Oryctolagus cuniculus: one gene and its partners. The protein of the gene in region 2 interacts with the protein of the main gene of each other region in a pairwise test. Links are inferred from orthologs where the notes say so. Each region holds a gene or a part of one and is shown on either strand. Other genes may lie near its edges. The genes, in order: DLK1, GRN and KRTAP26-1.

What was found.
Region 1: the proteins of GRN (region 2) and DLK1 interact in binary tests that used the Homo sapiens proteins (3 or more experiments, as listed by UniProt). The link is inferred for Oryctolagus cuniculus from reciprocal best matches to the Homo sapiens genes GRN and DLK1.
Region 3: the proteins of GRN (region 2) and KRTAP26-1 interact in binary tests that used the Homo sapiens proteins (3 or more experiments, as listed by UniProt). The two-hybrid records come from large-scale screens. The link is inferred for Oryctolagus cuniculus from reciprocal best matches to the Homo sapiens genes GRN and KRTAP26-1.

The regions. Positions count from the first base shown.
Region 1 is NC_091451.1:44,306,838-44,310,584, forward strand, and holds the start of DLK1 (protein delta homolog 1), read left to right. Parts: upstream 1-1,396; 5' UTR 1,397-1,583; coding exon 1,584-1,650; intron 1,651-2,824; coding exon 2,825-2,888; intron 2,889-3,402; coding exon 3,403-3,533; intron 3,534-3,747. UniProt on the Homo sapiens protein: May have a role in neuroendocrine differentiation.
Region 2 is NC_091448.1:18,939,213-18,942,931, reverse strand, and holds the end of GRN (progranulin), read left to right. Parts: intron 1-307; coding exon 308-420; intron 421-502; coding exon 503-638; intron 639-721; coding exon 722-840; intron 841-1,062; coding exon 1,063-1,186; intron 1,187-1,419; coding exon 1,420-1,517; intron 1,518-1,608; coding exon 1,609-1,854; intron 1,855-2,152; coding exon 2,153-2,386; intron 2,387-2,469; coding exon 2,470-2,703; intron 2,704-2,793; coding exon 2,794-2,931; 3' UTR 2,932-3,204; downstream 3,205-3,719. Other genes in the region: protein FAM171A2, read right to left, coding at 3,689-3,719. UniProt on the Homo sapiens protein: Secreted protein that acts as a key regulator of lysosomal function and as a growth factor involved in inflammation, wound healing and cell proliferation. Regulates protein trafficking to lysosomes, and also the activity of lysosomal enzymes.
Region 3 is NC_091435.1:15,091,789-15,094,208, reverse strand, and holds KRTAP26-1 (keratin-associated protein 26-1), read right to left. Parts: upstream 1,574-2,420; 5' UTR 1,519-1,573; coding exon 877-1,518; 3' UTR 615-876; downstream 1-614. UniProt on the Homo sapiens protein: In the hair cortex, hair keratin intermediate filaments are embedded in an interfilamentous matrix, consisting of hair keratin-associated proteins (KRTAP), which are essential for the formation of a rigid and resistant hair shaft through their extensive disulfide bond cross-linking with abundant cysteine residues of hair keratins.

The DNA of each region.
Region 1 (3,747 bases), on a different chromosome or scaffold from region 2:
CACTCCCTGCCGCCACCGCTCCAGGTTCCAAATAGCAAAGATGTGCCCCCCCCCCGCCCTGAACCGTGGGGAAGAGGAGGCGAGAACTGGGCGGGCACATTCTCTGCACCTGGGACCTGTGTTCAGACTAAGCTCTGCAAGTCAAGCACCCTTGGACCCATCCCCAAGTCCCGACCTGCCCGGAGGTTAAACACCCGCAGCCCCCTCCCAGCCCCTCTCCCTCCCTAGCTTCCGGGGCCTCCCCGATCCAGACTGGGGTGGGGGAGGCTCCAGCGGGGCTCTGAGCAGAGGCTGGGGGCTGCAGCAGGGTGCTGGGGGCCCGGTGGAGTCCAGGGCGCACTCCCTCTCCCCAGGGTCTCTGACAGGGGAGGCTCCCCGGTAACCAGGGCGTTGAAGCCTCCCAGGAGATCTGGCACATGCGCTGAGGACCGGGTGTGCAACCGTCTATGAGCTTGTGTGTGAAGTTGCTGCACGTGTCACCGTGAACAAAGACTGCTGTGAGCCCGGAGTGTGTGTGTGTGTGTGTGTGCGCGCGCGCACTTGTGTGAGACCAAGAGCCTGCGCCGTGCGGGCGAGCGGTGGACTGGGGGTGCGTGTGGGTGAGGATCAGGCGCGCCGCACACATGTGTGCCTGTGACTCAGGCCCCCGCGAGGCGGGCGTGTGTGGGTGGAGGTGACTGCATGTGTGCGCGGGTCTGTGGGATGACAGTGTGCTTGTAGGTGTGCGTATGACTGTGTGCGTGCCGCTGCGGGAGGCGGCCCAGGGTTCCGTAACTGCAAGCCGGTCGGTGTGCGTGCGTGTGTGCGTGTGCGTGTGTGTGTGTGCGTGCTGCAGTGTGTTTGGGTTGTAGTGTGCGTTTGTGTTACACATGTGTGTGCTACAGCAGGTGTGTCTGCATTTTCCGGCCTCCTCATGGCTCTGGCTGGCAGGGACCTGCGGCTTTTCCTAACCGTTTTTCTGAGCGCGTGTGTGATTATGTGTACATTGCACATCTTGGTGGTGCGCCTTTGCGTCTTCCTGGGTATGTGACCCGTGGCCCCTGTACTACACGGGGCCTAGGCGATGGGCATCTGGGCGCTTCTGCACTCCGAGGGCTTGCTCGTGTGCCCCTGGGGGTCTGCGGCCCGGCCCAGGGACTGTGCTGGCGACAGGTCCTAAACTGGCCAGTGCGTGTGTGCGGCACATGTGCGAAACGTGCGCGGGGTACCTGCGCCTGTCTAGCCAAGTGTGCGCCCGTGTGCGCGGTCGGTTTCCGGGACGCAGCAGTGGTGGGGGGCGGCCCCGCGAGGGGCGGGGGTCACCGGGACTGGCCGGCGCCGGCCCCGTGCACGCGAAGGCGGGGGCGGGGGGCGGGGGCCGGCGGGGGGGGGGGCGGTACGAAAAGGGCGACGCGCGCGGCGGCGGCGGCAGCTCCTCGGCGGCAGCGGCGGAGAGCGCAGCGCGCAGCCCGGTGCAGCCCTGGCTTTCCCCTCGCCTCGCGCCCGCGCCCCCTTCCGCGTCCGCAACCAGAAGCCCAGCGCGGCGCCCGGAGCCGGACCTGCGCCCGCACCTCTCCCGGGACCGCGACCCCGGCCGCCCCGCGATGACCGCGACCGAAGCCCTCCTGCGCGTCCTCTTGCTCCTGCTGGCTTTCGGCCACAGCACCTATGGTGAGCCCCTCGGCGGCCGGGCCTGCGCCCCCTCTGGGGAAGCCTGCGACGCCCCGCCGGCCACCCCGTGCCCCGCGCGCCACGCGCCACGCGCCCCAACTCCGGCCGCTCTCGCCTAACCCTAAGCCCCGCGCTGTGCCTGCCTCACCCTCCCTTCCGCCCTTGCGTGCCAGGTCCGCCCGTGGGTCCCCGGGGGGTGGGCAGCGAGCTTGGGACCCCCGCAGCCCCTTCCCTTCCCGCCTGGCAGAAGTGGCGCTTGAAGGGGTGTCGGTGCGCTGAGAGGAGGCATGGAAAAAACGCGGCGATGTGCGGTGATGTGCGGGAGTCTTCCGTGAGGACGCGCTGGGGGGCAACTTGGGGGTGTCCCTGCGTGTGCATCCCGGGGAACAGGTCTCTGGGGCAGCGGGGGTTGACTTTGCTGTCCTAGCCCCCCAAAGCCCAACAAGAGAGCAGCTCGAGCCTCCTGTGAGGCGCGTCTCTCTAGGTGAGGGGCTGCGACACTTCTGTCTGCAGTGGCCATCTGTCTCTGACAGCGAAGAGTGGCCCCCTTCCCGCAGCGCCCCCGCCCCCGCTGCGCGGGGGCCGTGGTGGGCCGTGGGGCCATGTGGAGAGCTGGTTGAGTGATGCATGCAGTAGGTGCCTATGCAGGCGTCAGAATCCCTTAGTGTTGGAATCTCAGCCGCCCTGGGTGTAACTGTTGAGTTGTTTTCTTAACACAAGGAGTCGTGGGGGGACTTCTGACCTGGGTGCTTGGCTTAACTGCGTAACCTTGTAAAACACGAAGCTCACACCCCTCACCTGTGGACTGCCCGGTGAACCTGCTAGGGCTTTCCCCGGTTCAGCACCTCCGGTCTGCCTCCCCGTTAGCATCAGCTCACTTTGCAAAGCGTGAGGGTTTGACTGAACATCCAGGGTCAAAATCTTCCCCTTGGTGGTCTCTGCCCCCCTATCCGCAGCGTATTGGGGTTCCTTGTTGTCTCTGGGGGAACAGGGGCCCTGTCCTGCACCCAAGGTCCCAGGAGCACACACAGCTTTGAAACAGCGTGTCAGGCTGGTGGGACCCATGGGGGGCTGCGAGCCAGCGGGGGTGGGGCTGGGGTGTGGGGAGTGGGCTTTTCCTGGGCCTCTGGGGCGAGATTGTGGGGTCAGTTGTGTGATGTTCCCTGTGCCTCAGGGGCTGAATGCTTCCCGGCCTGCGACCCCCAAAATGGATTCTGCGAGGATGACAATGTGTGCAGGTACAGAGCCGCTCCTGAGGCAGCTGGGGGCGGTGGGGGGAGCCACGGAATGGGGGTGGGGGAGGCACAGTCCTGGGAGTCAGGCTGGGGGGGGGGTGCTGCGGCAAACAGCTTCCCTGGCTCTGCAGAGCCCCAGTGGGGGAGACGGTGGGGGAGACGCAGGCAGGGGATGGGGGCAGCCACAGCTCCTGTCTCCCTTCTCAGAAAGGGGGGGTGTCAGGGGAGCGCCTTGCCAGCAAGACCACTGCGGGCCACTGCGACAAAACGCAGTGTCCCCCCCCCCGCCCCCGCTGTCCTGCTTCCTAGGACCCCCTGCGTCTGCCCCCAAGCTTGTTTTTTTTTTTCTTTTCTTTTTTTCTTCAGTTTTGACGTCCAGGTGACTGCTGATTGCGTCCCCTGACCCCTGGCCTGGGCCCTGTGCAGACTCCCAAGGGCTCTCGGTCCACTGAAGGCAGCCAGCTCCCTCCCCACCCAGACCCCCCTCACGGGTCTCCATCTTTCTTGCTCCGCACAGGTGCCAGCCTGGCTGGCAAGGCCCCCTGTGTGACCAGTGCGAGACCTCTCCTGGCTGCGTTAATGGACTCTGTGAAGATCCCTGGCAATGCATTTGCAAGGAGGGCTGGGACGGGAAACTCTGCGATATAGGTTGGCACTCCCCTCTGCCTGCGCCCAGCCCCCTCCCCGCGCCCCGCCTGCCAGCCCCCTAGCGCCTTGTACTGTGTGTCCTGTTCCTGCTCTGCTGGGGAGGGTCTTGGGTCTGCTCACCGCTCCCCACCCGCACGGCCAGCACCTAGACCCCAGAGAAGGCACTGGGCTAGGGGCCCACGGAGCTGCCTGTTGAATAAAGTCACGAGAGGAG
Region 2 (3,719 bases):
GCCCTATGCGACCTCCCTGACTGCTCTGGGCAGAGGGGGCGAGAGGAGGGGCAGGAGAGAATGCGGGGCTCCAGGCCCAGCTGCAGGCACTGCGGGGCGGGGCGGGGCGGGGCGGGCGGGGGCCGTACTGTTTGAATGCCGACCTGCTGTCTGTGGCTGCCCTGCCCTATGTCATCTTGCTGGGGCAGGGACTGGCTTCGGGGGCAGGGGTGTATGGGGGAGCCTGGGAGATCACTGGGCCTGCGTGTCCTCGTGAGGGGCGGGGGAAGGCCCTTCGCTGAGGGGCTTGCTTGTTACCTGTCCACAGCTAACAACTCCCTGGGAGCTGTCCAGTGCCCCGGGAGCCAGTTCCAATGCCCAGACTCCTCCACGTGCTGCGTCATGTTGGACGGCTCCTGGGGCTGCTGCCCTATGCCCGAGGTACAGGTCTGGGAGGGGGCTGGGAGGGGGCCGGGAGGGGGCTGGGTGGGAGCAGAGGCCCATCGGGACCGTCTCTTCTCAGGCATCTTGCTGTGAGGACAGGGTACACTGCTGCCCCCATGGCGCCGTCTGTGACCTGGCTCATACCCGCTGCATCATGGCCACAGGCACCCAGCCGCTGGCCAAGAAGACCCCTGCACGGAGGACCAACAGCCTAGGTGAGGAGCAGCGGGGCACCATGGGAGGCCCTGCTGGAGAAAGCGCCCGGTCTGGGCCCCCTCACACCTGGCTCCTCCTCCAGTGCCGTTAGTGGCTTCGCCCACCTCCGTCCTGTGCCCTGACGGACGCTCCCGGTGCCCTGACGACTCTACCTGCTGTGAGCTGCCCAGTGGGAAGTACGGCTGCTGTCCAATGCCCAATGTGAGTGAGGGGCCGCGTACTCACGGCCAGCTGGCTGCACGGGCTACTTGCCCGGGGTCTCCAGGGCTGGGGCTGGCCTCCGTGGTTGCAGGGAGCCCGAGGGACTCAGGACTCATGCTGCCCCCTAGTGGAGACTGGAGACAGTGCCAGCCCTCAGCCTGTCTGCTCCCTGTGCTCCGTACAAGCTGGCAGTCACCAAGATACACCCTCGTCCCCACCCAGGCCATCTGCTGCTCCGATCACCAGCACTGCTGTCCCCAGGACACCGTGTGCGACCTGGTCCAGAGTAAATGCCTCTCCAAGGAGAACGCTACAGAGCTGCTCACGAAGCTGCCGGCACGCACAGGTAACAGGCAGGCCCCAGACCTCAGTCCCCTGCCCCACAAACAGGGGCTCTCCCAAGCTGTTCCTGGGGTGGGGTGCTGTGGCCACGTGGAGGGGCCAGCCAGGTGCAGCCCCTTCCCTCCACACTGGGCCCTGCCCCAGGATCACTGTGGGGTGGCGCTGTCTGTGCAGCTGGCAAAGGCGGGCACCGCAGGGTCGCCAGGGCCACTGCTGACCTGTCCTGTGTGCCCGCAGTGCAGGATGTCAAGTGCGACCAGGAGGTGAGCTGCCCGGATGGCTACACCTGCTGCCGCCTAGCGTCAGGGGCCTGGGGCTGCTGCCCCTTCACGCAGGTACCGAGGAGCAGTGGGCGGGCTGGGCCGAGCCGGAGGGTGGCATTCAGCTAGGCCCCTGTCACTGCTGGCCCTTGTCCGTCCACTCCAGGCTGTGTGCTGTGAGGACCACATACACTGCTGTCCAGAGGGCTTTAAGTGTCACACGGAGAAAGGCACCTGTGAGCTGGGGCCCCGCCAGGTGCCGTGGATGGAGAAGGTCCCAGCCCCCGTGAGCGTGCCAGAGCCCCCAGCCTGGAGGAGCGGGGTCCCCTGTGATCACCTCGCCAGCTGCCCCGTCTTCAGCACCTGCTGCCAGCTCGCGTCGGGGCAGTGGGGCTGCTGTCCTGTCCCAGCGGTACAGTGTGGCCTGGGGGCGGGGACGGTGTCTTGGCCTGGGCCAGTGGGTGGCCAGGCTCAGTGGGGCTGCTGTCCTGTCCCAGCGGTACAGTGTGGCTGTGGGGGCGGGGATGGTGTCTTGGCCTGGGCCAGTGGGTGGCCAGGCTCGTGTTGCCTCTTCCTGCCCTCTGCCTAGGCCACGGCAGCACCCAGCTGAGCTCTCCCCAGCCGGAGGGGCTGTGAGCAGGAGAGGTGGCTGGGGCCACCATGTCCCCCGTGGTAGCTCCCTGGACCACCCTTTCCTGCCCGCCCCCCAGGCCGTCTGCTGTCAGGACCACCAGCACTGCTGCCCGCAGGGCCACACGTGCACGGCCGAGGGGCGGTGTCGGCGGCAGAACGAGACGGTGGCCGGGCTGCAGAAGACGCCTGCCCGCCAGGCGTCCCTGTCCCACCCCCGGGACATCGGCTGTGACCAGCACACCAGCTGCCCGGTGGGGCAGACCTGCTGCCCGAGCCTCGGCGGGGGCTGGGCCTGCTGCCAGCTGCCCCATGTGAGTGCCCGCCTGCCCACCCCAGGCTGGGGAGGCTGCGGCCCGCGTGGGGACAGGGACGTCATGCCGTTCTGTCGCCGCAGGCCGTGTGCTGTGAGGACCGCCAGCACTGCTGCCCGGCCGGCTACACGTGCAACGTGAAGGCCCGGTCCTGCGAGAAGGAGGTGGAGGCCGCCCATGCCGCGGCGGCACTCCTGCTGCCCGGCCCGCGCGAGGGTGTGCGGGACGTGGCGTGTGGGCAAGGACGCTTCTGCCACGATAACCAGACGTGCTGCCGGGACCGCCAAGGCGGCTGGGCCTGCTGTCCCTACCCCCAGGTCAGCGCCACCCCCACCCCTGGGGCTGGGTTTGGGTGCCCACCAGGGCCCGCCCCGTCTAACCCTGTCGCCCTCTCTCTGACCGCCCAGGGCTCCTGCTGTGCAGACCGGCAGCACTGCTGTCCCGCCGGCTTCCACTGTAAGGCCAAGGGCACCAAGTGTGTGCGCTGGGGGAACCTGCGCTGGGACGCCCCACCGAGAGAGCTGGCGCCCCAGCAGCTGTTGTGAGGGACTGAGGACCGGAAACACTTGGCAGCCCTCGGGGTCCTGCCCGGAGGGTGCCCACTGCTCAGGCCTCCCCAGCGCCTCTTCCTCCACCCAGCTCTCCCCACCCGGGATCCTGTCAGAAGGGGGGCTGGGGCAGAAGCCACCAAACAAGCTGCCATCCCCTCCCCCGATTTCTGTGGACCCTGTGGTCAGGTGCTGTCCCTTTTCCACAGGGGTGTGTGTGTGTGTGTGTGTGTACATGTGTGTGCGCTCCAATAAAGTTTGTACACTTTCTTCACCGCGTCTGATTTGGCCACCCTGCCTCCCACCCCCGCCCCCGCCCCCACAGAAACACACACACGTGTTTCCCTCACCACTTGTGTATTTGCTGTTGCTTGCCACGGCCCCATCCCCATTCGCCCCCAGCCCCCCAGAACTGCCCCGGCACCAGCCCCGGGACGGCATGGCCCAGAGGTGGCAAGCAGCACCCTCCCCTCCCAGGGGTCCGCAGAGAACGCCCCCTCCCTTCCTAGCCCTCACACGAGCAGCTGAGGCCAGGTCGCCCCGCCTGCTGTCCCCCAACAGAGCTCTCTATGTACAGCCCCCAACCCCCCCAGCCCTCCTCCCCTGCACCTCCCAGCGCGGGGCTGGAGGCCGACCCAGGCTCCCTCTCCCAAGACACATACCACGGGACAGCTCCGCCGGCCCCCGGCCCGGGGAGGGGGCTGCGAGCGCGGGCCCCCACGGGCCCCCGGGGCGCGCAGCCCGGGCGCGGGCGCTACTTGACGTTGAACACCATGAGCGGCCGC
Region 3 (2,420 bases), on a different chromosome or scaffold from region 2:
GAAGAAATCAATAGGCCAATATGTGAATCATAGGACTGTGTTTTCAAAAGTGAGCATGAATTTTCAAAGCAGATAAAATAGAGATCCTAATCTTGTTGATGGCATATGCAAAAAGGATGATTTTCAAAATCATGTTGGGGATCTATGTGTAATTCAGAATTGGATTTTTGATACACAGCAAAAGGGGATTCAATCAAATAATAGGAGGAAGACAATGAAGGAATCCAGTATCATGGTAAGGGATTTGGGCTTTTACCTTATGGGAATCGATCATACAATGTCATCTAAGGATTAAGTAAAAGCTTATGGTTAGGTTTGTAATGAGAAAAAACATTCCAGTGGAAGGATATTCAGTGGAAGAGAGAGCTAAAAGATATAATTCCTCATCTTGCCTTTGCAAAACACATTCCACCAAGGATTCCTGGATCTCTCAAGGACATAGCATCAGAAGTCTAAAAAACAGCTTGAGAAATCACACCATCAAATCATCTCTCTACTATCAGTAAGAGCACATTGTTACACAGCACTTTGTCTTATTCACAAATCTTATAAGGAGTCTGGGTTCACCATTTCTGTGTCAGAATGAAGGAATGAAAGAAAACCAATGAACCAGATTCTTAGCTTTGACATGATCTTGTTTATTATAGTGCGAACAAATACATGCTTCCCACACTCAGGCAACATTGAGACACATTGTAAACCAATTTTTTTAACATCAAGGAAAGATGAAAATGTGAAAGTAGTAAATCACATTAGATCAGCTATAGTAGAAACACCCAACCAGCAATCAGACACCACTAAGAAAGAACCAGAAGTCCATGGAGTTTGAATTTATATCCTGAGTCTTCAGCATGATGATTTGCTGGAACAAGCACACTACTGGCCTCCCTGGACAGAGCAAGATGGATGACATGTGCCATACACGTGGGTCACAGGTTGGCAGCCGCTGGATGGAGGCGGCAGAGGTCTTGGGCTGCTGGAGACGATATGAACTGCTTGAGGACCACAGGCCAAGTAACCTACGGGTTGGCATCCATAAGTGAGGAGGCTCTGGGGTCGGCAGCTGCTGGACAGAGAGGTCAAAGGGCGGTAGGCACTGAGCACGCTACCTATAGGTTGGCAAGTATTGATCAGGGTGTTCTGCGGACGGCAACTGCTGGACACATAGCTCGGAGGTTTACAGGATACTGGGAGGCAGGAGCTGGAGACACAGGAAGAAGCAGGAATAAAACTGGTTCCTAGGCTGGGTCTGGGCACATAGTAAATAGTGGAAGATCTCCAGGAGGTTGCGCAGTTGCTGGGCACACAGTTGGTTGGCTGGCAGCTGGTTGGTTCAATGTAGGTCTCTTGGCTTTTGTCCGTGAGCCAGGCACGATCTTGACAGCTGCTGGGTAAGCAGAAGACATCTCCACAGCTCACATTTGTAGAGCAGCCGGCAACGGAGGAGGAGGCAGGGATGTGGCAGGAATTTCCGGGGGAGCCTGAGCTGCAGTTGCGAGAGTAGTTCTGGCAAGACATAGCGAGGGTTTTGAGAGCAGGCTGTGTTTGAGGGAAAGAATTGAATGCAAGTTTCATTCTGATCCCCACTTGCCTTGGCCCTTTATATACCCTAGAGGGTGAGGGTTTTGTAAACAGACTCTTCCTCCTGGTTGGATGAGACTGCATCAGAACTCTTCATTAGAGTGCAGGAAGAAGCGCTCTTACTTCCGATAAAATTGGATGTTCCTTACAATGCGTTCCATTTATTAAATATATTGAGAAGCCTGCGTGACTAGATTTTAATAAGATTTCTTCTTAAATTATCCAACCAAAACAGACACTTTTGAAGGCTATGAACTTATTCCAGTTACAATAACCATGGCAAATTCTTAAAATCCCCCTCTTGGAATTGTTTTTAAAAATTGTATCATTTTTTTAAACAGGGGCAAATTTTCTTTATCTGAAAGAAAATCCAGTTCTCTTTGGAAATTACTCACATGAAGTCACTTGGAACCAAGAGTGTTATAAGGGAGGTGAAAACTCCTATAATCTAAATGGCAGGAAAAGCTGAAACTACTACAACTATACAAAATTTCAATGTGCTCACTTTATTTCAGAATCCCAGTACAGATTAACTTCATAGCAAAGTATCTTTGTTCAAAAAATAAATGCTCTTTTTATTAACTTTAATAAATAACTCAAACAGAAAGTCTGGTTTGTGTTTTAAGATCTTAAATATAGATAATGAGGTTGGGCTCGATTAAAATTATGGATCCTAGTATGAACAAAAAATCCACATAAAACTCCTTAAAGAAAGCTGGAAAACATGATATTTTACATGATTATTCCAGACTTATGTGTTTCGTGATTACTCATACTACAACTGAAAGCTATCATTCTTGGTAAAATAAGTAAGATACACAGACTCACATGTGGATTTG